3 linked regions of the Lonchura striata genome follow. The protein of the gene in region 3 interacts with the protein of the main gene of each other region in a pairwise test. Links are inferred from orthologs where the notes say so. Each region holds a gene or a part of one and is shown on either strand. Other genes may lie near its edges.

Region 1 (7,468 bases), on a different chromosome or scaffold from region 3:
CACCCCGATGTCCCCTCCCACAGACAGGAAGGGCACCTGCAGGGAGGAGAGGGGCTGCTGGGAGCAAGGAAAAGCTACAGGAAAAGAGCTTGGCATTCCCACTGTCCTGAATATGGCTACAGGGCCAGGATGAAGCAGACACAAGAGGAGCAGTGGGATGCCACAGGAGAGCTGGGGATCTTCACTAGATTCACTCCCACAGTGAACACAGGGGAGCAAACACAGCAAGGTTTTTTTGCAAGAACTCAGATGTGTGTTGTTCGGGCAGGAAGGAGAAAACAGAAGGAACAGAAGTTAATTAAGACAGGGGGCTGGATGCTCTTAGGATTTCTAGATCTCCGCTTTTCTCAGCATGCTGGGTTTTGGAGAGCAAGGACTTCATACTGAATCCTACCACACAAGAACCTCAAATCCTGCCTCCAAGCACAGACAGAGAGCTGGAGGGAAAGCCATGAGAAGCTGCACCTGAGGCCCATCTCCTGCCCACCAAGGCATCCAGCCTTGTAGCTTGGTCTCCCTTGGAGAAGAGGGTTTCCCTACTGGCAGAGAGCCAGCCTGGCTCTGTTTTGGGGAAGGGGCCAGGCAGTGGGGGCTCACCTGCTGCCGGGCAGGGAGGCCCGGCGGGGCCAGCTCCATCACCTTCCCCGAGAGCTCTGCCTGGATGGCGGCCATGCCCTCGTAGTGCTGCTCCCTGTGCAGGGCCACCGTCAGCAGGCGCCCGAAGCCCGCGCTGGCTGCCAGCTGCCTCCGCCCTTCCTCCGTCCCAAAGAGCCACTCGGTCTCCCTGCCCTGTGGAACTGCAGAAGGGGCTGCCATCAGCCTGGGCTGCTCCTGGCCCTCGAGCCTTCCTGCCACAGGGAATGGCAGGACATTTAAGGGAGGTAGCACTGCTTGGTTAGAGCCGTGCACTGTGACCTTCAAAAGAGCCAGGATTTCCCCCGTTTTGGGCAGGCTCATGCAAGAAGCTGAAAAAGCCACATCTCATTAGAAGTGGGGGGGGGGGTCCAACAAGCTCCTGAGCTGTCTCCAGGTTCTGCCAAGGCCCAGGTTTGCAGGGATGCAGGGAGGGAATGGTGCTGCTGGCAGAGGCCGACACATGTCTGTGAGTGCAGCCCCAGGGGTCTGGCCCTGCAAGCCAGGACACCCACAGAGAGCAGCGATGGCTTCCCAGCCGCAAGGAGCTAACTTGGCTGTCACCAGCATCCAGGCAGGAACCACCACCTTGGAGGCTGGGCAGGGTCCCTCTGCCCAACAAGCTCTGTGCCACACCTCTGCTTGCACCACCAGGCAAGTACAAATCCCATGGCAAAACCAGGACTAAAACATCACCCCAATCCCACGCAGGTGGGTAATTTCTCTCTCCAGCCCCACATTCAACAGGCCCTAAAGGGCTGGCTGTTTGGCAGCTCATGGCCAGGGCAAGAACCTGACTGCAGCCTGGACAGGCTGTACTCACTGATGAAGATGGCAAAGTGATTGTCCCGGGAAGGTTTCACCGAGGGGCTGTCCACCACGTGCAGCGTGTAGCGGGGCTTCCCACTCTCTCTGTCACACAGATCCAAGGAAACCTGCTCCCTGCAGGGGGTTTTGCTGATCTGGCTGCAGAGCAGGGCATAATGCTGCCTGTCCTTCACCGCTGCCACCAGCCGCTCCACGCTCTCCACCCGCATCGGCTTGTCCTGCTCCTCAGGGCAGATCTCCAGGATCCGTGCTGCCGAGCCAGGCATCTTCCTGAACTTTGTCATCACATACACAAAGACCGGCAGGACAAACTGCTGCTGGTCCCCACTGCTGGCCACCTGGTGGACACGCACCACCCAGCCTTCCTGGGAGAAGTATTCCACAGCTTTCTTCAGCACGTGGGCTTGAGCCAAGGAGACGCAGAGGTAGCGCCCTCCTACCTGCAGGACCCGGCTGATCTCAGCAAACATCTGGTCTACCTTGGCTAAAGTGGCCTCTTCCTCATCGGTCAGGAGGGCATCCAGCGTGCCTTTGTCCAGGACCGCTTGGAAGTGGCCATCAGGGAAGTCCATCTGGAGCATGTCCATCAGCAGGTAGCTCATCCTCGGCCTGGTGCTCGCGCTGCGCTCCCGCATCTGACGGATCACGGCGTCGCTGACGTCGATGTTGACGATGTCCTGGCACATCCCCATGTCGTACATCTGCTCACTGAGCTCCGAGTTCCCACAGCCCACCACGAGAACCTGGGCAGCAGCACAAGAGCAGCGTGATGGTGATAACACCCTGGAAATACTCCTCCCACCACCATTTTAGGAGCAAATATCAGACGTGTCTGTGAAAACCGCACCTTCAGGGCCTGCAAACTCACTCTCCATGGCCTAAGATAACATATCCACAGAGAACAGTCCCGTGGGCAGAGAAGTGATGCATCTGCTGCATTTTTTTTGAGAAGGATGTTGGTGCTTTAACCCCCAGAGCTGCCCAGACCAGGGCCACCTAGAGGTCTCTCCTATCCTCTTGCTAAGGCACAATGGGGGCTTCATATCATCTGTGTCAGACCTCGCACACAGAACCAACTAGAACCAACCACTGGAAAAGACATCTAAGAACATGGAGGCCAGGCTATGACCAAACACCACCATGCCAACCAGAGCACAGCACTGAGTGCCATGTCCCACTTCTCCTTAAACATCTCCAGGGACGGTGACTCCATCACCTCCCTCTAGGCAGTCCATTCCAATGTCTAAGCGCCCTTTCTCTGAAGAAATTAATCCTCCAAATGTCCACCCTAAACCTGCCCTGGCGCAGCTCAAGACTGTGTTCTTTTATCGTGTTGCTGGTTGCCTGGGAGGAGAAGCCAACCCCCAGCTGGCTACAACCTCCGTTCAGGGAGTTGTAGAGAGCGATAAGGTCAGTCCTGAGCCTCCTCTTCTACAGGCAAAACAACCTCAGAGCTCGCCGCGCAGGCGGAGCCCGGAGGGGACACAGCGCTGGGTACCAGCCGGGGCTCACCTTGTCGCGGGGCCGCACATACTTGTGCAGAACGGGGCAGAGCTCCGGGAAGGCCCCGTACCACTCGAAGGGCCGCTGCCCGCGCTGGCGGAAGAAGCGATCCCAGTAGCGTGCGGAGCCGAACTCGGCGGGGCTGCGGGGCAGCAGCTCCATGGCCGGGCCGGGCCGGGCCGGGCCGGGCCCCGCTCCCGCCGCGGCCCCACGTGTCCGCCGCGCTGACCGCTTCCGGCTGCGCGGCGCGCCCGCCGCTCATTGGCTGACTCCTCCTCAGCCGCTCCCCATTGGCCAGTGGGTCCGCCCCGGCCGCTCCCCATTGGCTGCCGCTGCGCCGGCCGCTCCCCATTGGCTGCCGCTGCCCCGGCGCTGCTCCGCGCTCCAGCGCGCAGCGGCCCCGGCGCGCCCCCGCCCGGTGCCGGTGCCGGCTCCGCTCCGAAGCCGCTCCCGCATCACAAGGGCGAAGCTTTAACAGCGCACACCCGCGGGTTTCTGCTGAAGCAACAAAAAGAGCGGAGAGCGAGGCAGCGGTGCGTTCAAAAGGAGCAGCTTTAATGGCATCCCGCAGCGGCGGGAGTCTCTGCCGGCGCTGCGTGTGACATGCACAGCACCTGCCTTGGCAGGGCTTGGACTGGGAGATCTCCAGAGGTCCTCTGGACCCAGGAGTTCCGTGCGGTTGTGTGAGCCCGCGGCTCGGGCGCTAGCTGGGAGTGGGGCGCGGCTCTGGCGAGGCGCTCTGAAGAAAGAAGGCTGAGAGCTCACTCAGCGCCTTGTACCGGTGTGAGATGGAATTCTTCATTGCCTTGGGCATTTCAGCGTAGCTGCAGGGGACAGAAGCAAGTGTCAGCAGCAGAGACACTACAGCATATCCCTGGAGCTCCCCTCTGCCTCCCTGCTTGGCTCAGCAAGGCATTGGTAGTGACACAAGCCCTGAACTGGGGGTTTCCCATCACCCACCCTGCTCCCATCCAGGAGGACATTTCTCCCTGATGCCCTTCCTTACAAGCAAGTTCCCCTGGACACCCTTGACCAAGGCTGGCCTTACGCAAAGAGCTGTAGGTAAAACATCACTTACGTCTGGTTGTAGCCATTTGGCTGAAAGCAGGGATCCCAGCCAAAATCCCGAGGGCCCCTGGGCTCCACTATCAGTCCCTGCCATGAGAAAGCACAGAAAAACTTTAAAAGAACACCAAAAAGCACAAAAAACCCTTAAAGACTGCACTTCCCGTGCAGCACAGACAGAGACACGCTGCCATAGCTCACAGTGCAGCCACCACAGGCCCTGCAGGGAGCTGTCCCCTCCCCAGCATGTGGCCAGCATCAGCAGCTCCAAACTCACGCTGCCTTATGTTGACAGTGCTCTGACCTCTCCAAATAACAGAGCTAAGAACTGTACCTGAATACAGCCCTGTAAGGGGGAGATGGGGCTGAGGAGACTGGGGTAACGTGCAGAGTTCAGTGAGCACCACTGAACAGAGGGCTGCACCCTCAGCACCCCCACCCACCAGCTGCGCTCCCCCTAAGCCTGCTCCCAACATTCAGTGACCCAGAGGCCACCACGAGTGTCCTCAACAGAGCCAGTGCTGCCACCCAAGTCCCAGCAGGGCCCTCCTCCCCAGCACACAGCACCTACATGGGTCTGGCCTTTGAAGAGCCTCACTGGCTCCTCCGGGTTCCCGCTGCTGAAGGCGAAGGTGCAGAGCGCGTAGGCAGACTTGTCCTCAAAGCCAGCCAGCAGCTTGTACAGGCCTGGGGACACAGAGGGGAGCCTGGAGTCCCTGCTGCTCCCCAGGAGCACAGCACAGCCACCCAGGCACGGAGGTGTTCTACGTGGCATTCCCAACCACCGCGGGAGGTGACAGAGCTCAGGCACCAGCATCCCTGCTGTGACTGAAGCCAGAGCCTCAGGTCCCATCTCCAGAGCCCCGCTATGAATTTGGGAGAGGAAGCAACCCAGCACAGCTAAAGCCCCTGGTGCCCGAAGGTGATTAGTACTCATGTTAATGAGACCAGCAAAGGATTTGAACTGTGGGATCAAGGCACAGCAGGGAAGGGGAGCATTATTGGAGAGAGGCTTGCCCTGAAGCCACAGGGAGCAGGAGATCTTCCAAGTCACACTGAGCACAAACGAGATGTTCCCATGAGCCCTGCCACCAGGCTGCAGCAGGAGCCTGGGAATCCAGGGATAGAACTACTGAGAAAAACAACATCCCAGGAAGGAGGGTACAGAACAGGCTCGAGGAACCTGCTGGCTCTCCCAGCATGGGTAGGGAGCCACTTCAGGGGCACAGGAGTGGGTTACACACAGAGTAGTAACATGAGGGCAGTACCTTCTGGCTTGAGTTTCTCCAGGAACCATTTTCTGAAAAGGAAGGGAGGAGGGAAGAACAATTTTTGCTATTATCTCTCAGAAATACAGGCATCCTTGTGACATTGTTGCTTACATTTTCATAGGCCTTTGAATCCCTCTCAGTGTGCTGTAGGATCACTCATTCTAGAGCACTTACCAGGAAGGACAGACTTACCTCTTAAGCTGAAGGGGACACAGTGAAAACAGCAGTGGGGTATTTAATTTACTGTATCTTAGTTATTATGTATATAAATACATAATAACTTTGTTTTCTTCTGGATTAAAGCTATCCTTAGGAGAACCTGTGGGGCACTCATGGCAGAGTCCTGCTGAAAGGCTTGGTGCCTTTACTGCACAGAGCCTGCTCTTTGGACAGGTTCCCAAGCTGCTAGAGCAGGCACCACAGATTGGAAACCAGAGCCAGCAGCCCAGGTCTATCTCTCTATTCCTGCTCCATAACTTCCCACAGAGCTTAAGGAGCTCAGTGCAGCCCCTGGGGTGCAGGATGAAGGGCAGGAAACAGCAATCACCTCCCTGACCCCACTGCTCCTGGAGTGTGAGGCCAACCCTGCCAGCCTGTGCTCCTAACCCTGGCATATGAAAGGGGAAACAGCCACTTACATGTAGGGTCCTGGGAGGCCCCCCAGGGCATTGAAGCACAAGCAGGTGTCCTCTACTATAACAGGCCCCTGAACCTACAGTGACAGCCCAAGAGAAGGAAAACATTAGACCTAAAGGAAGGCACTGCCTCCAAACCCATTCCCTTGCTCTGGCCCATCCTCGTGTTTCCACTTGACCTCAAAGGCAGCACACACCAGACAGACAATCAAACCCAAACTCCCCCAGGCAGGCCAGAGAGGCTGAAGAACAGTAGGGAAGGTTTCCCATGGAGAAAAACAAGCAGAGCTGAACGCTCCCTAACATCCTAGAGGACGAGGAAAGGGAAAGTCTGTGTTCCAGAGGCATGCCTGCAGGGTACCCATCCCAGAGCCAGCTCTGGAATGTTCAGCAGACAGAACTCTTTGTCCTGCAGCCAGCGGGCCTGGACTGAAGGAGGTTCCGTGACCTCCCGCTGCTAGAGGGACACACCAGCACAAACCAGAGCAGCCGGGTGGCGGGAGAGCAGCGAGGCCAGGACGGGCCGGTTGGGATGCCTCAGTTTCCCTGCCTGGGGTCCCTGCACACCCATCCCGCCGGGAAAGGGGAAGGAGCGAGTGACCTGCCGGGCGGCTTCGCGGCACTTCTGCACCGAGATCTCGTCTGGCTCCCCCTGGTACTCGGGCACTGCGGACACGGGGATGGGGCGGTGCTGAGCACACGGCCGGGCCGGGCCGGGCCGGGCCGGGCCGGGCCGGGCCGGGCCGGGCCGGGCCGGGCCGCCGCATCCCGCCAGGCCCTGCCCACAACTTACGGTCGATTTTCTTCGCCACCAGCGTGTAGGGAGAGGAGTCCCCGAGGATCTGCGTGACCTGCGCAGGGAGAAGGGAGTGGCGAGGGAGGGAGGGAGAGAGGCGGGCCCGCCGGCCAGGCCCGCTCCCGCCGCGCTCACCTCCTCCAGTTTCTTGGCGTTGCCGGTCACGAACACGACGCTCCGCCGCGCCGGCGCCGCCATGCTGACCGCGCGCGCGGCCCTGCGCGCCCGCCCACCAATCAGCGCCCGCGCCGCCGCCGCGCCCCGCAGCGCTCGGCCAACGGGAAGCGTGCCCGCCCCGCAGCGTCCGACCAATGGGGAGGGCGTCCGCCCACGCCAGACAGGCGGGAACTGCCGGCCCGGGTCGCCATGGCAACCGGCCCCGCCCGGCCCGCGCCCCTCACAGCCCGGCCGGCGGAGCCCGCGCCGCTCCTCCTGGGGAATCGCAGGGGGACCGTGCTGCAAGCCCTGCTGCTGATCAGCTCCGACCTCAGCCGCGTCTCTGCACTTTCTGTCATCCCATTTCCCGCGTCCGAGCGACCCGTCGTTGGTGGTTTGGTGCTGGTGGTGCCTCACAGCCAGAGCTGTCCCTTGGGAATGTCTGTGCCCAGGACAACCCCAGCACTGAGTGACTTGAACCTCAAACTGATCAACACCCAGTTCTAGCAGCTCGGGGCAGTGCACTGATGGTTGGCTTGTGCGGCTTTCCCTGCCCTGCATCTCAGGTAAACACAGGAGCA
Region 2 (8,092 bases), on a different chromosome or scaffold from region 3:
ACGGCTGAGCTGCTGAGCTTATGTCAGAGAAAAGGCCCCAGCCCTCCTCGCTGAGCCTCTCCTTCCTCCTTCTCTGTCACTCAGCCCCTGTCTCCAGCCCCTCGGAGGTCTTGACCCAAATCCTGTGTGCTCTGCCGCATGCTGGCTGCTGTGCTGACAGGACACAGGTCCCGTTGATCCCAAACGCTGGGGGAGACAGTATCAGAGCTCTGCTTGCACTGAGAGGAAGGGGCTGGGGTGTTAGAGCCCTTTGCAATCCTTTGCTGTGGCTGAACTGAGTGGTGCCGTGTTACCCCATGAGAAGTCAACCATTTTTCTCCTCCTCCTCCTCCCCCTCAGGAGGATGCCTCCACTGTGGCTTTTGACACAGAGCAAGTCACGAGATGCCGAGGAGGTCAAACCTGCTGCCACGGAGGGGCACTGCCATCCAGAGAGCTTCCCACTGCCCAGATCTGCAGATCGCATGGGTGAGCAGGGACAGCATAGGAAATGCTACATGGGAAAGCCCTGTGTGGGAGCCCAGGAGCCCCTGCCTTCCCACAGCAGACTTATCAAGGCACCAGTTCAGAGTGGTGCTTTCCATGGGCCAAAAGGGAAGTGCATACACATCAGACTTCTCAGGGTCAAGGATGCTGGGCAAGCAGTGAGAGGAGAGGCTGCAGGGGGCAAGGGAGGGAACCGGGGCGTGGGGAAGGAGACACAAATAGCAAAATGAATAGCTTGAACTTCCTATGTTTTATGGAGGTGAATAAAAGGAGACAGAGAGGGGGAGAGAAAGGAGACCTGAATGCCTGCACAAGGTCTCACGCTCACACAGTCCAGCCTAGACCCCAGAAACTGCTGGTGGCTGATGTGGGGTGGCAGCCTGTACCCCCTTGGCTGGCATGTCTCTGGGCTGGCTGCTTGTCTGGCCCAGTGTCCCCCAGGGGTATCTCATGAAGCGTGACAGGCTGCTGCTTAGCATTTATTCCTCTCCCTGTCATTATTGTTTTGAACAGCAGCCAGTATAATTAAAATTGTTAGGAGAAAGAGGTTTAGGGAAAATCCAAAATGTCTCAGAAGAGCATCTGCAAAGCTGGAGGTCCAAACTCCACCCTGGCACTCACGATGAGCAGGGCCCATGGGAGCCATCATCTCCTCTGCATCCTCCCTTCCATGCTCCCCGTTTCTCAGGGTGGCAGAGGCTGGGCTAACACACAGGGTGGTCCTGGCCATGTTCCCCTTGCAGCTGCTGCCCACTGTAGCTAAATCCTGCAGCTTTTCCTGGTGTAGGACTTGTCCCAGGAGGTCCAGATGGCAGTGTCCCCAGGCACCTCACCTGCAGCTCGAGGACAGATGCAGTGGGGGGATGTAAGAAGTGGAGGACATGGAGCCCCTGTGGGCTGCTCTTCCAGAATGGCATGGATGGATCTAAAATATCTCCTGGGAACCATGATGCTTTCTGTTGTGTTAGGAGGGCCTGTGCCACAAGAGGAGGTGTGGAGAGGACCCTTGGCTCCTCAGAAGAGAAAACAGGATGGTCCATAAACAGAAATGGAAGTCACCATTCATGCCACATTCTCCAGGTTTCCTAAGTGTTTGAATGGAGGATTTGACTGCTCTAGGGTCAAATGTCCCCAGTGCCAGGGCTAGGAGATTAAGGACATCAGACAGCTCCAGCAAGGAGGGGAAGAAAAGGCAGATCCCTGCCTCCATTCCAGGGCTGGCACAAGTGCATGGTTAGAGGATTAATCAGGAGCCCTCCAGCCAAGGCAGGCTGAGGGTGAAAAGGAGAGGGAGGCACATCAAAACCTCTCCCCAAAATAAGTGGTGCTCTGGCAAAGCCTATGGCAGCTGCTCCCATCTTCTGCCTCAGTGTCTCCCAGCTACTGATTGTCTGTTGCTGTCTGGATAGGATCACTCATTACCAGCTCAGAGCCCAGTGTGTCACCCAGGACAGCCAATCCTCCAAACAGTGACCTGCTGAGGTCCTGGAGATCTGAGCACCCCTGAGGTTAGGGTGTGTCTCAGGACAGAGCTTCCCTGTGGGTTTTATGGTGGGTGGATAGACAAGGCAGGCCCAGGAGTGCCTCTCATCTCTGCTTTTTCCAAAAGTGGACCAAGCCTCTGGTGGTTGGGAGCAGAGAAAGGGTGGGGTTTGATGGCTGATCTCCAAATGACTTGAACTTACTGGGGATAGTGGAAGCAACTTGATCCAGCCCATTCGCTGCGTTCAAATCTGCTGAGAGTCGCATGGGAAATACAGTAGCCCAGTGGAAAAAGCAGGTGAGATTTTGTGGGGTTTTATTTTGCAGGAAACTTCTCCTGGCTCTCCCAGATCTGCCTGCCAAGGGCAGCTGCCAGCGAGGCACCACCAACGGAGACTTTCAGGGAGTCTCTTGGTGTGCAGGGGTCAGCAAAAGCCCCCTCCCAGACTCTCCCTGATGGACTCGCCCCTGCTCTGTTTTTAGCACATTCAAGTAGCTGCTTTCACAAGAGGTAAAAGAAAGTTCATGGATCCGTTGACAGATCACCCCAAGCGGGAATTTCTCTGGGAATTCCTGCAATAGCAGGTTAGCTCCCGCGGAGGTGGAGTTTCCTCTGGATCTACCTCCACCCAGGCTTGGGGAGAGCTCTGGCCACCGGCTCCACGCTTGGGGGGCAGGGCTGAGCGACGCCACCGCTGCTTCCCAGCCAAGGTCAGCCAGAAACCCTCCCTGTCCTGCAAGCGCCTGGCCTGTTGTGTCCTGTTAACCCTTGGGAAGAGCAGAGCCACAAGCTGGCAGGCTTGGGCTGCAGAGCTGGCCCGTGCCCAGGGGCACACAGGGGCAGTGGACATGCCCAGCAGGCACACAGAGCTGCAGGCGTGAAGATTTCGTGCCATTCTGTCCCTTGGGGACTTGCTGCCAGGCAGTGGTGGGCCCTGGGTGAGGCTGGTTGCCACTGCAGGAGGCCAGCGCTGGCAGGGAGATGGCTCCTGCTTGAGGCAGGGAGTGACGGGGTGATGGTGCTTGGCATCAGTGACTGTGTGCTCTGGAATCTGAGACACGTCCCCGGCCATACTTGTGGTCAGGAACCATCTCTGCGTTGCAGCAGCACAAGCCACACTCCCAGTGGCAGCAGTGCTGCTTGAGCGTGTCTCTGACGCCAAGGACCGGCGTGACCCGACCCCACACACGGGACAGGCAGCTGCTCATTTCCAGAAGGTCCCCTTGTTGGGACTTGTTTCCTCCTCTCTAACAGAGGTGGGCCTCACCAAAATGGCACCTCCTGACTCCACAGCCAGACCCTGCCAAGGGCTGGAGGATTTCCAGGTGCTGCACAGGCTCCAGACTGTGGGGTGGAGGGAACTTGTGTTCGCAAACACACGGCCAAGCAAAGAAGTTTCAAGGTGTCATGCTAGGGAGAGGGTCCAGTGCTCACTTTTGGTCTGGGACCACCTTTGCTGCTTTAGGGATGAACTGCCATGTGTCTCACACATCCAGGGTGCAGCTCTTGCTAAAGGGTATCCCAGAGCTCCGTGGTATTTTTATAAATCTCCATGGTATTGCTATAAAGAACAGCAAGCAGGCAGCTTGCTAGTGCACAGATTTGGGGATCAGCCACCCATCAGAGCTTTAGCACTGATGTGTTCAATGCTTCTCTCTCTGGAGGTATTCAAAACTCATCTGGACAAGTTCCTGTGTCACCTGGTTTAGATGACTCTGACTTTGAAGGGTGGCTGGATGATCTCCAAGCCCTTGAGCCCTACTAATGCTGGGATTCTGTGATTCTGAGATTATGCCCTCAGTGACTCAGCCTCGCCCCAGGACAGAGTGCAGTTGGAGACGAGCACTGGGAATTCTGGTTCCCAAGACCTGACTGTGCATCCTGAGGCCACACGTAGCATATCCCTGTGCTTCCACATGATCTGCAGCTCCATCGGGGCAGGACACGGCCGCTCTCCACCAGCACAGTCAGGGCCCTCTCTGAAACATCGGCGCTTGGCGAGGGCTGTGCATGGGAGTTCTCCCTCTGCCAGGAACCAGCTGGAGGGAGCGACAGCGCTCGGCAGCATCTCCCGGGGGATGCGCTGCCCTCGCACAGTGTGCGAGTGCCATCTACAGGGGCTCTAGCCCGGCCCCCCCAAAAAACCCATCCTCTCGCCACTGCTGACTGCTGTCCAGTCCCCAAGGCCGTATGAGGGGCACAGCCTCAGTTTATCCAGGGAGCATTTATCCAGCAGTTTATCCAGCACTGCTCCGAGGGCTCAGCACAGCCACGGACAACAGTCGCAGCCACAGAATGGTTTGGGGTGGAAGGAGCCTGTAAAGCTCATCTTGTTCCAACCCCCTGCCGTGGGCAGGGACACCTTCCACTATCACAGGCTGCTCCAAGCGCCATCCATGAAACTTCCAGGGATCCAGGGGCAGCTTCTCAGGGCACCCTGTGCCAGTGCTGACACCACCCTCACAGGGAAGAATTGCTTTCCAATACCCCATCTGACCCTGCCCTCAGTCAGTGTGAAGCCGTTCCCCCTCGCTCTGTCACTGCAGGCCCTTGTCCAAAGTCTCTCCATCTCTCTTGGAGCCCCTTTAGGCACTGGAAGGGGCTTTAAAGCTCTGCCCGGAGCATTCTCTTCTCCAGGCTGAACCCCGCAGCTCCCAGCCTGTCTGCACTGCAGAGTGCTCATTATCTCCGTGGCCTCCTCCGCCCCGCTGCAGCATTTTGGGACGCGGCAGTTCCTGCCTGCCGTGGCACAGCCCCCGCCCGGGACCGGGGGTCCCTCACCGCGGCTCCGCTCCGAGCCCCTCCGCGGGGCCCCCACAGCGCCCCCGGCGGCCGGGCGGCGCCGCGAGAGACGGCCGCGGGGCGCGCTGGGAGATGAAGTCCCGCCCGTGAGCCGCGCTCCGGCAGGCGGCGGGTGGAGCTGGAGTCCCGAGGACTACAACTCCCATCGTGCCCCGCGTGCGCCCGCCCTGACTGCGGCACCGGGGGCTGAGGTGGGCACCGGGCACCGAGCGCTGCTCCCCCCGCCCGGACCCCCGTCCGGCCCCGGCGCCGATCCCGGGGAGCGGCGCGATGGGCGGGGAGGACGAGATCGTGCGCATTGCCAGGCGTCTGGACAAGATGGTGGCCAAGAAGAACGCGGTGAGTGGCGGCGGCAGGGCCCCCGCAGCCCGGTTGGCGCGGGGGGCCGCCCCCTGCCCGCTCTTGTCTGGCGGACGCGCCCCCTCCTTTCCGCAGGATCCCCTCCTCGCTGCCGCGCTGGGGCACCCCCTCCTCGGTGCCGTTGTCAGGGGCGTCCCCCTCCCCAGACCCCATTTTGGGAGCCTCTCATTCAGCGCCGCCCCGGTCCTTACATCGTGCTGGAGCACACGCTCCCCCTTTAAAGTGGGGTTCCCTCCCCCAGGCCCCGTCGCTTTTTCCTTTCCCCATCCTTTGCGGAGGTGTGGCATCCACCCACTGCCAGATATTGAGCGGGCAGCCCTGTGTGCCCCCTTGGGTGCTGTGGGAGCCTCCAGTCCCCATGCTGAGCCCCCCACCCCAGGCCTGCGGCATCCCCAGCCCGCATCTCAGCACTGCGGGGCTCACCCTGTGCTGCCTGCCCTCCTCCTGGAGAGCATCCCCAGCCCTTCTCCCCTGCCCCTTGGGAGCCTTTGGGAGGGGAGTCCCCACCAGCACCGGCCTGGGGCCCCGGTCTGCCCCCGGGGATAGCCCCGGTGCTGATGGATTTGCTCCCTGCATCTGCATCCCACACCAGCACTGCTGCTCGCTGCCGTGGCCCCTGGAGTGTGGAGGGCTGGCCAAGCTGCTGTCTGCACTCCGGGAGTCTCGCAGGGTGTGCTGTGACCCCTGTGACAGCCTGGGAGGACAGGAGCCGGTATTTTCCGGCTTAGTGGGATATATCAGTAGAAACACGGTGTCATGCAAGTGCTAAGGCAGAAAGCTGACAAGGGTTTGTGAAGGAGGTAGGCTGTACATCTGTGTCTGGGGTGGGGGTGAGGGATTTTGGGGTTGGGAAGGGCTGTGGGGAGTGGGAGATGATGGGTGAGGAAGAGGAGGCATTAGAGGAATGTGGTATTCTGTGTTAGGATGCTGGGTACATCACAGTTATCATTTATGCTGGTGTAATCACAGGAACTTTTGGTTGTTGGACTGACCCTGCCAGCCGTGGGTAGAGCAAGCACTGTCACTTGTGTCGCTGTTGGAACAGGCCAGAGAAGTGTGTTTGGGCTAAAGAAGAGCCTGTGATGTCTGTTCTTGCTCGTGGCAGGTTTTCAGCATCAGTGTTGAAATAGGAAAGGAGCAACTTTGTAGAATTTGCTTCCAGCTACATTGGGAAAGAGGCAGCTTCTTACAGGAGGGGTATGCGACATTTCCTCTTGGCTGGCGTTTGAGATAGTGCTGAACTACAGCATGTTCTGTTTTGGCTAATCTTAGAGCTCTTCCTGCAGGACAGTTTCCCAGAGTTTGTTGCTCTAGTTTTTCCGTGGATCCTCATTTGCTGCCGTTGTGCTGAGTGGCTCCACTTGGAGTCACACCGGGTCACTTCGGGTGTTCAGGGCTGGAGGAATGGGAAGGTGTGAAACTGCCTGCGGTGGAAGTCAGTCCTTCTGGGTTTGGTAAATGTGTGTGGTTTATGCTGGTGTGAGTTGATTGTGTGCACGCTGAAAGCTTTGACTCTGCTTTGATTTGGGCATCTGTTCTGTAGGGTGAATTACAGCTGGATTGCTTCCTGGGATGAGTTGGAAGCAGCCCTTCTGTGTAGGGAGGACGGGATGTGAGGACAGGGCTGGCAGTGCAGACACTTCACTTCCCTACAATGGTGGCTGTGCAGGCCTTGTGCTGCAACTGGGCTTGGAGTGGTCGGCGTTGTAAATGAGCTGCTAAAAATGAACACTGGAAGCCTTGTGTGAGGGATGGGGGTTGGGCAGAAAGAGCCAGCTGAATGGAGACAGGCCCATGCCAGGCTGGGATGTGCTAGAGGGAGACAAGTGATTTCCAGTTCTCTGAGTGACTGCCAGTTTTAGGTGTCTACAGATTCCCCATCAGATTTTTCCTGGTTCGAGGATGTAGAGATGATGTAAGGAGACTTCACAGAGCAAGTGTCAAGTGACCAACCTGTCAGCATCACAGCTTGCTGCCTTTGCTCCTGGTCTCAGCTTTTCTCCTGAGCAGAATCGGGTATTAATATGAAAACTAGGAAATAGCTACATGGAATCACTGACAGTTGTAATTCAGAATGTGTTTTTCAGGTATTAAAAATGTTTAGCGTGCCAGGTAAGAATAATAAACAGGTGCTGCACTTGCACCATACACAAACAAGGACCTGTAGCACTTCAGTGGTCTTCTGTTTTGCCCATTCCAATGATTCAGGTGCCTTCAAGTTGCAGGATCTATTGTCTGGAACAGCACCCAGCAGTGCACTTGCTGATGTTTCAGGGAACATTTGGTGGTTTTCCCTTTGAATTCAACTTTCTTTGTCTATTCCCAATAAAATTCCTTTAATAAAAGCTGAGGCACTCATTCTTTCTCTTTTCCTCTCCAGGAAGGTGCAATGGATTTACTGAAAGAACTGAAAAGTATGCCTATGACTTTGGATTTACTGCAGGTGAGTTGCACAGTTATGGTAACAAGCTTAAGTTTACATCCAGATGAGTTCAAAATGTTCTCTAAATAAACTTAATAGATTTCATCAGACTTCTCGCCTCATGCAAAGAGTAAAAATAAACATTAAATCCAACAAAATAGTGCAGAAGTTAGGTTTTGGACTGGCAGTTCAAGAGCTCTGGGTCACTGTGTGTAATTGCTCAAATCTTGTTTGTAGGCTGCAAAAAGAGGAAAGACTGGGTTAAAGTAGCAAACACAGAGGGCAGTCGTGGGAGAAGTTCTTTGTAATGTTGATATTTAGAACTTTGGGGAGGAGTGAGCAGAATTACAATTTGGAGTCTGTGATGCGGTTTGGAGTTTTTCACTCTAAGCTTGAATGTCACAAGTGTGTAGGGAAGGGATTTGTGGGAGATTGGACGTGTCTTCTGTTCAGCTGTGCAAGCTGGAGAGTGTCACCTTGCTCTTCCAAAATTGCAAGGATCATAGAATCATTCTGCAAGCCTTTGGATACTCCTGTCCT
Region 3 (8,129 bases):
CGTCGGCGCGCTGCTGCCGCCCTCCCCGCCCGCCGACGGCGGCACCTCGGGCACCGTCTGCGGCTCCTCCAGGGCCCGCGCCGGCAGCCGGCCGCTCCCCAGACCCGCCGCCCCGAAGGCCAGGCCCGGCGGCGGCGGGGCGGAGGCGGAGGGGTAGGCGCTGCCCGAGGGGCTCAGCGGCCCCGCGGGGTTGAAGCCGCTCAGGTTGGTGTAGACGGCCGGAGGGTCGGCGGCGGCAGCGGCGGGGGCTCCCGGCGGCCCCGGGCGGGCGGTGCAGCAGGGTCCCGGCGCGGAGAGCGGCGGTGGCGCCGCCAGCAGCTGGTTCTGCTTGTGCAGATCGGCCAGGGCCTTGACGAAGCCGTCGGCGAAACCCTCCTGTTCCTGCGTCACCGGCTGCCGGTAGAGGAACGGCCCCGGCGCCGCCGCCCCGCCGCTCCCCGCCCCGGGTGCCGTCGGCCCTGGGCTGCCCGCGCCCAGCCCCGCACCCCCCTGGATCAGCAGCTGCTCCAGGTCGGCGGCCGGCGGCAGCTTCAGCAGCGGCAGCTCCGCAGCCGACCCCAGCGCGGCCTCCGGGCCGCCCCGGGCCGCCGCCGCCCCGCCGGCGCTCCCGGTCTCCGCGGAGCCCGCGGTCGGCGGCGGGGCGGCGGCGGCGGCGGGCGGCGGCGGCAGCAAGCGCAGAGCCGCCGCGCTGCCGCGGGCGCCGGCAGGCGGGCGAAGGGCGAAGGGCCCCGGGAGCGGCGCGGGGGCGGCAGCCGGCAGGTCCCGCTTCTTGCCGGCGCCCAGCAGCAGCTTCTGCCCGGCGGCCGCATCGGCTCCGGGTCCGCCGGCGGTACCGAAACCCGGCAGCGGCACGAAGTCGGGCAGCAGCTCCAGTCCTTCCTCGGGGTAAAACGGCGCCTCCATCTTCACGGCGGATCGCCCGCTACGCCCGCCGCTCATGCTGCCGCCCTCGCCGGCCGGCGGCGGCTCCGGCGCGGGGCGGGCCGGGCTGGGCGGCTGCTCCGCGGGGCCGGCCGCCCTCGGCTGGCAGCGGGGACTGAGCCGCCTCCCGGCGCCGCCGGACCGCGCCACGCCCCGGGCCCGCTGCCCGCCCCGCCGTCGCCGCCTCCCTGCTGCCGCCGCCGGTCCCCCCCGCCCGCTCCTTCCCCCGCCCGCCGGGCGTGCGCGGAACGGCTTCCCGGTGGGTGTCCGTGGGGAGCCCGCGCTGCTCCTCCCCCTCGGAAACTCGCCCCGCGGCTGCGGTGTGGGGAACAAGGCGCTGCTGGGGCCTTCCTCCGTGAACGGGGGAGTCTTCTCGGGGCCATTAGTCCGGCCCGAGGACCGGGAATTCTCAGGAGGAAAGCGAGCAAGGGCATCGCGTGGCGGCTGCTGGGGCAGGTGCCGGTGCGTTCCGTCTGTGATGGATGGGCACAGGATAGTGCAGGTGTCGAGGACTAGTGATTCTCAACAACACAGTGCTGGGAAGTCTGACGGGAAGTGCTTGGCCATCATGAAAAACTCCAACTAGTCAAACTAAAAGTCACTCAGAAGATGAAGGCCATGAATTTGATGATTTGATGTGGCCTTTTTTCCCTGGGAAAAAAAAAAAAATTAAGAAAAAGAATTTGAAACATCCTAGACATATTTCCAACATTTTCAAAATTACTGAAATGTGAATAGCATTTTTCAGTTTGGAGGTTGTATTTATTTGTTATTTTATTCAAGACAATTGCCTCTGCCTTTCCCCAAGTTTTTCAAATTCTTATGGGATAAGGAAATTTCTTTCTACGCAGTCTTTTCTAAATCCGTTTTGCTTCAGGACACCAATGTGATCCTGACAGAGCTGCTGAAAGCTCTGCTTTAAGTCTTTAAAATCAGCTTGGTGACTGATGGTCTCAGTGGCTTATCTACACATTCACAAGACCTTCTCATCTGTGATGGACCCCCTCAGTTAGGTGTCACCTTCTGCAACCTACTCATGCTTTCATGCTTTCTCCCCAGGCATTTCCTTCCTACATATCAAGACCATGTGCCTCTTCTCACAGTGTCTAGAGAAGTTGCTAAGTTCTGCTTTTAGCACGATCTGTATGGCCATGCTTTGCCCCCCTGTTCCTAAAGTTCATTCCAAAACCAGCAGTGGAGGAGGAGATGGACAGTGGTATCAAGTCCAGGACTTTGACTCATAATCCCTCTTCAAGTCCACAGAACTGGAGTCTAGGTGCACTGAGGCTTTGATGACCTTGACTCAAGCAAGTACTTTGGGGCTGCCAATTCTTACGTATGGGTGCAAGAGCTCCTTTTCAACACTGTCCAGCACCTTCAGTCCCTGCCTGGCTGTGTCACAGGTGTCACCCTCTTCTGCTTCATCTCCTGGGTGAACCTTGGACCTGTGTTTCCAGTTCTGTTCCTGGTACCATCTCCTGCTGCTCCTACCTGAATTACCTGGGTGGACCTGGTTCATCACCTCACCGTGTGTGGGTGTGTCCATTCGTGCCTGCCGTGCTCTCGTGCTGCAGGACTCTGTCCAGGCTGGTGAGCCTGGTTCTGGTCACCCCTAGCTCATTTTGCCATGGGACAAAGCCCAGCTCTTCTGGTTCTTGAGGCTGTGGCAGAATTGCTGCCCAGAAAACTGGCAACAGAGGGAGAAGAAAGCCATCAGGCACAGGCCAGGGACAGAGGCATTCACATGGGTAGGGGAGGAGTAAGCATGTTTTTCTTGGTGAGGAAGGTAGTGCTAGAAAGAGCTTATTTTGGTTTCCTTGTCTCTTGGCTGACCTAGCAAAAGAGGCAGCAGAGCTAACAGTGCTCAGCCAACAGAGTACTGAAAACATCTCATGTGAGTGACTTTGTGGAAGTATAGATTAAGCTGCTGTACAGGCTTTTCTGTCATATTCCTAGGCAAGCAAGTGGCAGTGACTGGTCCCTTCCATCAGCTGGGCAAAGAGAGCTGTCTAGGCAGAGAAGCCACAGACTCCAAGCCAAGGCAAATAAACCTTATTTTCTTTCCCTCACAAAGCAAGTGTAGACGGGGAAAGTAGGCTGAGTGGGGTCAGAGAAAAAGCCATGGAGGTTAATTTAGGTCTGGGGTTATTGTCAGTGAATTTCTAGAATATACCATTACACTTGACTGGGGTGATCCTAAAGGTAGGTTCCTTCGTCATTCCTATACAAAAACTGTCACTTATGTAGGACAGTTTTAGTTGTTGATCGAATGCAGAGTTCAAAAGTGAGCCCACAGAATGGTAACATGTTGAAACTGCTCAAAATAAACCTATTTGTAACAACAAATGGATTTGTTGAGACATCTATCTACTGTCTGCTGATGCACCTGCACACTACGTTTAGGCGAGTGACACGGAGTTGTTTTACACGACCTTAATGCAACTGTGTGTTATAGCAACGTGGTCTTCCCGTTGTTTGCTTTTGCCTTTCCACCGCCCCTCCTTTTTATAAATTTTTTATTCTTCTCCCCGAAGGAAGCCAGAACCTCCCGCGGGGCTCACAGCGCTGGGGCAGCCATCCCCGGCCACCACTGTGGGCACGGCGCGGCCGGAGCGGCCTTGAGGGAAGGGACGGCCGCAGCGCAGCCCTCGGCCCCGGGGCTGTGCCTGGCGGGGCCGGAGGCGCTGCCCTGCTGCGGATGGGGCGCGGAGAGGCGCTCCCCAGATGGTGCCGGATGGGGCGGACGGCGCTGCCCAGCTGTGGGTGCAGGGTGTGGGTAGCACTGCCCAGCTGTGGGTGGCACTGCCCAGCTGTGGGTGGCACTGTCCAGCTGTGGGTGGCACTGCCCAGCTGTGGGTGCGGGGTGTGGGTAGCACTGTCCAGCTGTGGGTGGCACTGTCCAGCTGTGGGTGCGGGGTGTGGGTGGCACTGTCCAGCTGTGGGTGCGGGGTGTGGGTAGCACTGCCCAGCTGTGGGTGGCACTGTCCAGCTGTGGGTGCGGGGTGTGGGTGGCACTGTCCAGCTGTGGGTGCGGGGTGTGGGTAGCACTGCCCAGCTGTGGGTGGCACTGCCCAGCTGTGGGTGCGGGGTGTGGGTAGCACTGTCCAGCTGTGGGTGCGGAGTGTGGGTGGCACTGCCCAGCTGTGGGTGCGGGGTGTGGGTGGCACTGCCCAGCTGTGGGTGGCACTGCCCAGTTGTGGGTGCGGGGTGTGAGTGGCACTGTCCAGCTGTGGGTGCGGAGTGTGGGTGGCACTGCCCAGCTGTGGGTGGCACTGCCCAGCTGTGGGTGCGGGGTGTGAGTGGCACTGCCCAGCTGTGGGTGTGGAGCGGAGGGCGCTGCTCAGCCTGTGGAGCGGAGCGCCGTGCCCAGCTGTGGGTGTGGAGCGGAGCGGTGGTGCTTTGCTGTGTACGTCAAGAGGAGGGCTCTGCCCAGCTGTGTGCGTGAAGCGGAGGGCCGTGCTCAGCTGCGGGTGTGTGTGGAGCGCTGCCCAGCTTGTGGAGCGGAGCGGCGGCGCTCTGCTCCGTGTGTGGAGCGGAGGGCGCTGCTCTGCTGTGGGTGTGTGTGGAGCGAATGGCCCTGCCCAGCTGCGGGTGTGGAGCGGAGTGGCGGCGCTCTGCTCCGTGTGTGGAGCGGAGGGCCCTGCCCAGCTGTGGGTGTGTGTAGAGCCGCGGCGCTCTGCTCCGTGTGTGGAGCGGAGGGCCCTGCCCAGCTGTGGGTGTGGAGCGGAGGGTCCCGCCCCGCGGCGGGTGCGGGGCGGGGGCGGAGCGCGGCCCCAGACGGGGGCGGAGCGGCGTGAGGAGGCGGCCGGATTGGCGAGCCCGCCGAGCGAGGCCCCCGCCCCGCCCCGCGCGCCGGCGCGCCCAATGGGCGGAGCGCGGCGCGCGCGGCTACCGCGAGAGGTTCCGTTGAAGCTGGCGCCGCCATCTTGGAGTCGGGAGAGGCCGCGCGTCCCGTTCCCGTCCCTCTCCGGAGGGCCACGGGCGTGGGGGGGGGGGGGGTCCGCGGGAGGCGGGGGGAGCATGGGCGCCCTGCGGTGAGTTCGCAGCGCCCCGCCGGCTCGTCCATCCCCGCGGAGGGGCCGCGCCGCGGAGGGCGCGGGGTTGGGCGGGATGGTGCAGTCCTGTTCCGCCTACCGCTGCCGGAACCGATACGACAAAGAGAAGCCCATCTCCTTCCACAAGTGAGCGCGCGCGGCGCCGGGGCGGGGTCGCGCCGGGGAGGGGCGGGGCCAGCGCGGGGCCGCGCGCGCGAGGGTGGCGGGGAGCCGTGAGGGAGCGCGCGCGGGCGGGCGCGCCTCACGGTCGGGCTGAGGGACAGGGGGACAGACCGGGCACAGACAGACAGGGGGACAGACCGGGCACAGACAGACAGGGGACAGACCGGGCACAGACAGACAGGGGGACAGACCGGGCACAGACAGACAGGGGGACAGACCGGGCACAGACAGACAGGGGGACAGACCGGGCACAGACAGACAGGGGGACAGACCGGGCACAGACAGACATGGGGACAGACCGGGCACAAACAGACAAGGGGACAGACCGGGCACAGACAGACAGGGGGACAGACCGGGCACAGACAGACAGGGGGACAGATCGGGCACAGACAGACAGGGGGACGTGTCCCCTCGCTGCCCCTGAGGCTGGGGTGCCTTGCCCCCCGCCCCGGAATCTCCCCTGGGGAAAGCCGGAGGGACGGGACCCTCGGAGCCGCCTGTTGCAGAGCGACAGCGAGCAATGAAACCCCGTTCCCTCCTCACCCCGATGAGGGGCAGGAAGATTTTTGGCTTCGTTTATCAAGCTTTCCAGAAAAGCTGAAAGTGCCTCTTGCTTGCAGGTTTCCTCTTACGAGACCCGATCTTTGCAAGAAGTGGGAAGCTGCTGTTAAGAGGAAAAACTTCAAGCCGACCAAGTACAGCAGCATTTGCTCAGAACATTTTACCCCCGATTGCTTTAAGAGGGAATGCAATAACAAGCTCCTAAAAGAGAATGCAGTGCCCACAATATTCTGTTACACTGAACCCGGTGAAAAGGTATCGCTGGCTGGGGGGCTATGTACAAATCACGGACGGGACGGGACCGCTGAGGAACGTGTCTCAGGCTGTTTATTTTTTCATATCAGTCTTATTACATGGTTTTGACAATGGGGATACAATACACAGAGCTCCATTATTAAGCTTACAGCTTCCTAATATCTCAGCAGATATACTTTTCTACAGGAGTTATTCTACCCAAGCGTTAATACACAGACCGTAGTTATATTTGTCCTTTCTACTTCTTGTATAATTTTTCTGCTGACAAATCTTATAGCTACTGCTTACCTCTAAATCACCATCCTGCTGTCTCTTTTTACCTACCTTTTACAATGTGCCTAAAACCCTCAGACTTTAAAGAATCCCACAAAAAGGTAAACCCAAAGGACCCATGCCTGCAGGTGCTAGGACATATTGTGTATGTCATTGGTTGCAGCGTGGCAGGGCAGCGAGCAGGGAGAGATGTAGGCTGGAAAAGGATGGAGGCTGGCAAGATGCTGGGCCTGGGGTCACCAGCAGGGCTGTGGTGACTGAAAACACCTCCAATAGCGTGCTTGTTTTCTCTGAGGCTCTCTGAGGCTTTGGATCACAAACTGTTGTACAGGCAGACACTGGCTCTGACCTGCTCGTGTGTCTGTTTATTCAGCATCCATGTGCTGAATTAAATGGAATGGCAGCAAAGTAAGAAGGTGTTGCCCTGTAGTCAAACTATTCCACAGTAATTCCTGCATATTCAGGGTCTGAGAGCCATCATTAATGCTTGCAAATGGCACTTGCTCTCTTCCCCTAACCCTAACCATTGAAGACATGGTGGATGTTAACTGTGAAACTTAACCAGAGGGCTGTGCTTTGGCTTTGCAAAGTAAAAGTGAGCGACAGAACCTTACCTGCACCTGCTATCTGTTTGTCCTGAGAGCACCTCTGTCTTGCCTTAACATTGTTTTCAAAAGCCATACTTGTCCCTGACTTCTGAGGGTAGAGGCTTCTGTGTGAGGTGTTCTTCCCTTCACTGTGCCACTAGAACAATTTACTGTGAGATGCAGGTCACTTATGAGTTCTCCTTGATGTAATGACTTCAAGACAAGAATGGAAAAGACTGATTTTTAACTCCTTTAAAGGATATAAAACATTTCATCTCTTTCTGCTCTGCCATAGAGAAAGTGGCAAAGGAGACAGTCGTAGATAGAGTAGGTTTGGGGAGCAAAAGACTTAAATGGGATGAAGTGCACAGAGTAAAACTCAGATTTTTCTTGTTCAATTTTTCTCTTTATGTAACATGTTGGAATGTTGCAGAAATAAAAAGGCTACACATTTGAAAAATGAAAAGTGGCTAATAACAGATAAGAATATAAACAGAATGTAAACAAGGAGACAGACAACTTACAGGAAAATACAGTTGTGTTTTTGTTTGATTGCACTTCCTTACTTATCTGTGAAATACACATTTTCTTTGTTGTGTGTAGAATACTTGCAATTTTTTTTAGTCTGAAAGCTGAATGGGTGTATAGGGTAGTCTGCAAAAGCACTGTTGGTGCAGCAGGATTAGTTGTGAGACACATTTCCAGTTTTACTGTCATACCTGGATCTACAAAAACACAGAAGAATGAGTGCCTTTTAATTCTGAAGGATTTATTTCTATTTTTATTTGTCTCATGGCACTTTTGAACAAACTGCCATAAATCTTCAAGTAACATTGTAATAGCAAAGAATAATTGTGATTGTTTTGGAGTTGAATCTACATGGATTTTGAAATACAGTCACTCTGTGTAATTTGGTATACTTTATTTTTCTTTACTTATGTCTTAGGAGAAGTACTTATTGTCTAGAATAAATAATTAGAAGTCACTGCTGATGTCATAGAGTTACCAAAGATCTCTGTTCTCTGTGATACATTGTGACCATAATAATTTGTATATAGAGGTAGCATATACACTATAGCTTCAAATAGAAGTCTCTGTGAATTCAGCAGTCCAGCAGTGATCTGATTTTTCCTTTTGTTTCTAGCAAGAATGAATTTATTTTTGCTAGCTCTACCTTTGCCTCGTAGGGTTTTTTTAGTAGAAAAATTTGATAGTGACTGCTGATAGGGTCAAGCTCTTTAGAATATTCAATTCTTTAGAATATTGATATGTGAATTAGGTAGGCTAACAGCAGCAGTTTTTTTATAGCTGAGAA

The links. The genes of interacting proteins can lie anywhere in the genome.
Region 1: the proteins of THAP1 (region 3) and METTL13 interact in binary tests that used the Homo sapiens proteins (3 or more experiments, as listed by UniProt). The two-hybrid records come from large-scale screens. The link is inferred for Lonchura striata from reciprocal best matches to the Homo sapiens genes THAP1 and METTL13.
Region 2: the proteins of THAP1 (region 3) and TCEA2 interact in binary tests that used the Homo sapiens proteins (3 or more experiments, as listed by UniProt). The two-hybrid records come from large-scale screens. The link is inferred for Lonchura striata from reciprocal best matches to the Homo sapiens genes THAP1 and TCEA2.

The regions. Positions count from the first base shown.
Region 1 is NC_134611.1:599,828-607,295, forward strand, and holds the start of METTL13 (eEF1A lysine and N-terminal methyltransferase), read right to left. Parts: upstream 3,172-7,468; 5' UTR 3,127-3,171; coding exon 2,974-3,126; intron 2,205-2,973; coding exon 1,457-2,204; intron 798-1,456; coding exon 598-797; intron 37-597; coding exon 1-36. Other genes in the region: ITPA (inosine triphosphate pyrophosphatase), read right to left, coding at 3,668-3,788, 4,043-4,119, 4,601-4,716, 5,298-5,329, 5,939-6,012, 6,537-6,601, 6,729-6,786, 6,867-6,929. UniProt on the Homo sapiens protein: Dual methyltransferase that catalyzes methylation of elongation factor 1-alpha (EEF1A1 and EEF1A2) at two different positions, and is therefore involved in the regulation of mRNA translation.
Region 2 is NC_134619.1:6,781,074-6,789,165, reverse strand, and holds the start of TCEA2 (transcription elongation factor A protein 2), read left to right. Parts: upstream 1-4,921; 5' UTR 4,922-5,040; coding exon 5,041-5,109; intron 5,110-5,707; exon of another isoform or gene 5,708-5,930; intron 5,931-7,510; coding exon 7,511-7,573; intron 7,574-8,092. UniProt on the Homo sapiens protein: Necessary for efficient RNA polymerase II transcription elongation past template-encoded arresting sites.
Region 3 is NC_134642.1:4,505,056-4,513,184, reverse strand, and holds the start of THAP1 (THAP domain-containing protein 1), read left to right. Parts: upstream 1-4,929; 5' UTR 4,930-5,031; coding exon 5,032-5,102; intron 5,103-5,758; coding exon 5,759-5,954; intron 5,955-8,129. Other genes in the region: transcription factor Jun, read right to left, coding at 1-939. UniProt on the Homo sapiens protein: DNA-binding transcription regulator that regulates endothelial cell proliferation and G1/S cell-cycle progression.